Linked DNA regions of Callithrix jacchus. The protein of the gene in region 1 interacts with the protein of each later gene in a pairwise test. Links are inferred from orthologs where the notes say so. Each region holds a gene or a part of one and is shown in the gene's direction. Other genes may lie near its edges.

Region 1 (3,279 bases):
ACACTTATACTTCCATTTTCCTTCCAGCATTCTCAGTACTGTCTTTTAACTCTTAGAATACACTAACCATAGTTGTTTTAGCATGTGTCTGAATGTCCTGTATATATCTGTCTATATGTAATTCCAATGTCCTATATGTATATATGTCTCTGTCTCTCTCTCTCTCTTTCTTTTTACTACTTTTCATTTGTGTTGACTAGTTTTCTTTTATGTCAGATTGCTTTTTATAGGGTGTTTAACACTGTATCTTAAAATCTTTGCAGAATTAATTCGAAGTGTTTTTTCATTTGCCTCTGTTCTCACCACAGAGTCTGTTCACCCAATGGTGTGAATGGTACCGACTGCTGAGTATAATCACTTAACTGTTTTACTTCTACTAGGCCAAGTACAGTGAATGTATTAACAAACAATCGGCCAAATGTATTTTCTACTTTTTTATAGAACTTGTTTGTCTTGAGTTTTCTTTTGCTGTTTTAAACATATGGCTAGAGGACTCTTTCTATAATCACAAGCGTGGGCCCAAGTTAACGTTTTGTTTGATATGTTAGTACTCTGTGGTTTTCTTGGTGGCATTTATTTAATCCAGCCCCAAAACACTTAGATGTCAAGGAAAAATTTTTAAAAATAATGCTGATCAGCGTTCTCCCTGAGGTATAAACTAAGTAGTTAATCCTAGTCTTAGTCATCTCTAGAGCAAAGGTTTCTCAGTCTTCCAACCTCAGCGTCAAGAAGAAGAGATAGATACCCAAGACAAAGAGCGCCAAGTCATAGCTTTTGCACTGAGGTGCAGTGATCCTCTTTGAGCTTGACTAATTAACACTGCTCCTTCAGGATTTTGAAGACCAAATTGAATAGGACAGTGCTTCCATTTACCAATGTTGATTACCATAACTGTCAAGCATTGTATTGTGATATAATTCTGCTTTCAGGATAAATTAAAATAAACAAGAGTTGTTTGCCCTTCCTTTAAATGACCTGATTTAAAGGCATCTATGATTCTTTTTTTTAGTTCTTGATTCCTTTCAGCATTAATACTTCTGCTTGGTCTACTCACTAAGTATATTCAATAATAGTTTCACTGAGCTGTTGCTTGATTTGATAAAGAAACATCTAAGTAATAGGTTGAAAGATATATAAAGAACTTTTAATAGAATATTAAATGATTTTTCTTCTTTGCCAGGATCTTTTTTAAGTTTATGCAACTAGTCTTATTTCTTGAATAAAAAAATTGTGTCATTTTTCTGCCTTAAGAATGGAGACTATTCATTTAACCACTTGAGATTAAAAACAATTTAGATTTAAACCCCTTTTTCCAATAATATAAACACTTCGGAACTCTTTTCACCAATATCCTTACTAATTTATTTGAGTGCCATGTGGACAGTATTCCTTAACATTTGTTCTAATTACATCATTGTATTCTATTTTAACAGATTTCAGATCAGAACCACAGCTACCCAAGAAAACTCATCTCTCAATTGTGTATGGATTCATGTGTCAATCATTTATGATCAATTGTGTAGTGTGCCCTCATATAGTATTTGTGAGAAGAAGTTTGCAATGTAAGGGATAGGGTAGAGGAGGAGGGAAGAAATACGTGAGCTAGTAAGGAGGACAGAAAACAGAACAGAAAAGAGTAACAGCAGAAGTCAAAATAAATGCAGAAAATGTTCAGAGAGCTTGGCAAACTGTAATCGTACCCAAGAAATTGAAAGGGGAGGCTGTGGTTTCTGTATTTGTTGACCTACACATAGGCCAGTATTATTGTTCTAGTTAGTAGATCTCTAGACATGGAGTCAGGGCAGTCAAGCTTGAATTTCTTTTCTTTTCTTTCTTTTTTTTTTTTTTTTTTTTTTTTGATAGAATCTCACTTTGTTACTCAGGCTGGAGTGCAATGGCGCGATCTTGGTTCACTGCAGCCATCTCCTCACCTCAGCTCCCCCGAGGTAGCTGGGACTACAGGTGCATGTCACCATGCCTGGCTAACTTTTGGTATTTTTTGTAGAGACTGGGTTTTGCCATGTTGACCAGGCTAGTCTCCAACCCCTGGGCTCAAGTGATTGCCTGCCTTGGCCTTCCAAAGTGCCGGGATTACAGATGTAAGCCATCACGCCTTGCCCCAAGCCTGAAGTTTCATTTTGCCATTGACTTGGTATTTACCTGGGATAAACCATAAGATAATCTTAATTCCCGGCTCTATTAGAGTTGTTTTTGTACTCAAATATGCCATTGAAGTGCATGGTTTGTTGCCACAATTTGTCCCTTAACTTCTAGCAGTATGGAAACTGCTCTCAAAGGAAAGTTTTCTGCTTTTTAAACGCTAGCAACCAAAAAATACACAAAGTCTGTTGATGAATATAAAAAAGTAATCAATCTAATTGGAACAAGCATTAACATTTTGTAATATGAAACATGCTTTATTAGTTTCCTGATGTACTGTTTTATAATTTTTATCATTTTTTTCAGTAACTACTGCAAAAAGGTATTATTGGAATGAAACTATATTTCCTCATGTGCTGATTTGTCTCTTTTCTTTTTTTTCATACTTTCCCACTGGTGCTATTTTTATTTCCAGTGGATATTTCTATATTACTGGGGAGGCATTTGCAGCCCTCTAATGTCAATTAATATGTGAAAAGAAATTGTACAAATTTCACTAAATTATTCACTTTAAAATGGCTGATTTTATGTTATGTGGATTTCATCTCAATAAAAAAAGAAAACTCTTATCAAAAAACCCCTAGCCTCTAAATTATGTGCCCATGTGTCACAATCACTATCACGATTTGCCTTCTCCCCAAAAAATGAATTTGGTGTGGGTGGAGGGAATATTTATAGTAGATATTTTGATATTAAAGCATTAATTAGAGTTCTTAAAAATTTTTTAAATCTAAGAGAAGATGAAGATTTTTGTGAGGTTTACTACTGTTTAATATGCAAATTTATATTGTCATTATTTAAAAATATGTAGAAAGGGATGAGACAGATAGGTGCAGCAAGCCAGCATGGCACACGTATACCCATGTAACAAACCTGCACATTCTGCATGTATATCTCAGAACTTAAAGTAAAATAAAAAAAATAGTTGTACTATATAATAAACATAAGAAAAAGAAAGGGAAAAAATGACATAAGAAAAAACTTTCAATGTCAAAAACCACAATAACTTTTGCACCAGCTTCATACTATCTTTCTTGTATATATCTGCCTTTCTCCATAGAATATAGTCTCTAAAAGAACAGACAGCTTTGGTGTACATGGGTGTACACAACAGTCTGT
Region 2 (3,657 bases), on another chromosome or scaffold:
TTATTATTATCTCTGTTTTGTAAATGAGGAGGCTGAAACTGAGGTCACACAGGTAGACAGGAAGCAATGGGTTCAGATTCCCAGCCAGGTCTGCCTGCGAGCTTTCCTTCTTGTGAGGGCGATGTTGAGTTCATTCGGGATCTGGTGTAGCCATCACCACATTTAGCGTGCGTTTTGGAGTTTGAGCCAGTTTTGATGATTGCTTCATCTTACTGACAGAAATCCTTATTTATCCCTGGAACTCTTTCTAATGCTTCTGCTGGGAGTTTAGAGAGGTGGCCCCACCAAGCTGCTTGGTTACATTTTCTAAAACAAAATTTATCATAAGCAATGGAGGCTGGGCACGGTGGCTCACGCCTGTAATCCCAGCATTTTGGGAAGCCAAGGTGAGCAGAACATGAGGTCAGGAGTTCAAGATCAGCCTGGTCAACATGGTGAAAGCCCATCTCTACTAAAAATACAAAAATTAGCTAGACATCGTGGTGCATGCCTGTCATCCCAGCTACTTGTGGGGCTGAGGTCAGGAGAATTGCTTGAACGAAGACTCAGAGGCAGAGATTGCAGTGAGCGGAGATCGCACCACTGCACTCTAGCCTGGGCTACAGAGCCAGACTCCGTCTCAAAAAAAAAAAAAAAAAAGGAAAAGATTAACAAAATATACCACTATCTCTTTTTGCTGTGAAGTTACTTTATTGGCTACTGTTAACAATTATTTCAATTCTTTTACTTATTTTCTTACTGTTCTTTTGTAGAGACAAGGTCTTGCCATGTTGCCAAGGCTGGTGTAAAACTCCCGCACTTGAGCAATCCTGGTGCCTTAGCCTCCCAGAGTGCTGGGATTACCTGTGTGAACCACTGTCCCTGGCCTCAACTCTTATTAAAATTAAAACACCTTAATACTTTTAGCAGACTTACTGGGCCAATATTTTCAAGACCTATGCAGAATTACCAGTGCCACATCCCCTTTTTCTGTGGCTCCACCCCTTCAACTTTTTGCCCAAGAAAACATTCGTGTTTGCGTGTAGCTAATGTGCAGTTGTTTCTGCCCCCAAATCAACAGGGCTTAACGAAAACTCTAGAAAGTAGGAACTCGTGGGAGAGAAGAGAAAAAAGACAAGTTCACAAGGTATGTTTAGTGTATAAAAAAGGAGAAAGACTTCTAGCAGTGATATAAAGGAAATGAAGAAACGAATCAGTGAGATAGAGCTAAAGCTTTTTTCTGAATTTTTCGCATTATCACCTGGTTTTGTTAACCAGCTGCCTTAATTTTATGCTCCTGATTTGTGCACAAATTGAAATGTTTGCTACTGGATTTAAGTTCCCTCTCTAGGAGTTTCTCCGTTGTTTGCACTAAGGAGGATATAGTTGCTAACTTACTTAGATAACCTTTTATGAAATTTCTAATTGATAATACTTACTGTTTCATTTACGAATCAGATAAAGCTGAGTAGCTTAGGTAGACTATGAAGAAAGTGTCTCTCTGTGCGTATATCTATACACCAGCTGAAATATTAAAGGTAAGTAGCCTGTCTAGTAAAAAAGTAGCTATTTTTTTTTTAAAAGCAACCTCAGAGTTTTCAGTAAAGTGTTATTATAAACTAAGGTTTAACAAAAGAGAAAATTGGCTGAAAAACACATTTTCCAAGATGTTTTAGAGTTCCCGTTTCTTCTCAGCTGATGGCATGAGCTATTTCAGGAACAGAACTTAATAGATGTTTAGACTTTTATTACTCTTTCTTTTCTTCAGAATACTTTTGCATTTCGTTTGAGGAGAGTCAGAATTCTTATCTGGATTCACCATATTCACATCTGTGTGCACATGACAGATTTCAGTTCTGCTGTGGTTAACTTATCTGACTTGTCCAACAGGTTCCTGGGTGGAGCTACCCATGAATAGCAGCAATGGCAATGATAATGGCAATGGGAAAAATGGGGGGCTAGAACATGTGCCTTCCTCATCCTCCATTCACAATGGAGACATGGAGAAGATTCTTTTGGATGCACAACATGAATCAGGACAGAGTAGTTCAAGAGGCAGCTCTCACTGTGACAGGTAAGTGAGATCCGTGTTTTGGTGGAATTCAGGACACGGGTGGGTTACAGGGCTCATTATCTCTAGGAAAAATTTATTTGCTTAAATCTTCACTTAGCAAAAATGCCTCCTGATATATTGCAGTGTAATATATATTCCACAGATACATAGATTGTGTTTATATCAGACAGCTAATTGACAGGTGTTCCAGTGCCCCCTGTTTTCTCCAGATTGTCACTTTTTTTAATCAGATTACATTATTTTTAGCAGTTTATCAGTTTAAAATTCAGTGGCATAAATGCTACTTCATAGAATTAATCTTTCTCCCATTTTCCTTTGAGTCCCTCTTTTACAGATCACAGACTGCCTTGAATTAGTTACCTCTGTGTATATCTGTCTTCCCTTCTAGATCTTGAGGCTTCAAAGGGCAGGGACCATGTTTCATCTTTATTAGCTTCACGGTAATGGTGCTGGCACATAATAGACACTAAGTAAATGTTTGACCCATAGGAACTGCAGGTTGATTCACATTATAGCAATATTTGCACAGTTGGAAGCGCCAGCCAAGGTCTGTAAAGGTAGTTTTGAAGGCCCTTCTCCTTTCTCAGAGATGTTTTGTTTCAGACCGTTTTTCTGTATTTGACCCGAGGAAGCTCATTCCATGGATTAAAGACTGCTTATAGTGAAAGAGTAAGATTACAGTGAGATATATGTGTTGGAATGAAACCAGGTTATTATTTTTTAGTGTAAGCTTTTCTTTTTTTCCAGAGGGGCTGAATATTCAGTGACATTTACAAAATTCTTGTTTCAATGACAGCTACACTGTTAGCATTATAGGGCACCGGCTGACCTTCTGAGTAGCTGTTAGCTGATGTTAACCATACAGCAAACGCACAGGAAGCAGATTAAGGAAATGCTGAGGAATGTAAACAGTGCTTATCTTTAGGGATGCAGGATGGATATTTTTCTTCTTAACATTTTTGTATTTGGTAAAAATTGTGTATATTGCACATATTATTACTTACCAGAAGAAGCGAAAAGGAGAAATCAGTTAAATTATATTCCAGCTTCCCGAGGGACTTATGATCCACTAATGTTGCCAAGGCAGCCGGGGGACTGGTTTGCTGGCTCTGTGGCACACTATGCACCCCCGCCACCCCCGTGTCATCCCTGACTTGTCCCTGTGCTTCTTAGAGCCTGGGATGGCTCTTGTCATAAGCAGAACACAGCAGATGGCTCTCTTCTGAACAGCTTGCCCTTGATTCCAGTAGCTACAGCATTAAGTCTGTCTTTCCGAATGAAGATACATGTTTATATTATGGAACTTGCCGATGGGTGTCTGAAGTTTTCTGCTTGTTAATGGCCTGTCAGCAAGGCTTTCACTCTGCATTCCAGTGCATGGGCCTTGATCATTGACACCACGGTGTCCATTAGCCTGTTGTTAACATGGTGGTGTCATCGAGCAAAGAAAAGTCACCTGCTTACCTGTCTGTTCATCCTGTTACATGTGATTGAATATGACTTCACCCTCCCATGATCGTGTTTAAGTTGTGAAAGCATGTGAAAAGGAGGCATGGCAAGTGCTTTTGAACACTTCCTACCCCTCATCTTATGTATCTCCGGGC

What was found. The genes of interacting proteins can lie anywhere in the genome.
Region 2: the proteins of CLEC7A (region 1) and BNIP3L interact in binary tests that used the Homo sapiens proteins (3 or more experiments, as listed by UniProt). The two-hybrid records come from large-scale screens. The link is inferred for Callithrix jacchus from reciprocal best matches to the Homo sapiens genes CLEC7A and BNIP3L.

The regions. Positions count from the first base shown.
Region 1 is NC_133510.1:12,875,804-12,879,082, forward strand, and holds the end of CLEC7A (C-type lectin domain family 7 member A), read left to right. Parts: intron 1-1,433; coding exon 1,434-1,566; 3' UTR 1,567-2,737; downstream 2,738-3,279.
Region 2 is NC_133514.1:15,168,970-15,172,626, reverse strand, and holds part of BNIP3L (BCL2/adenovirus E1B 19 kDa protein-interacting protein 3-like), read left to right. Parts: intron 1-1,060; exon of another isoform or gene 1,061-1,126; intron 1,127-1,869; coding exon 1,870-2,053; intron 2,054-3,657.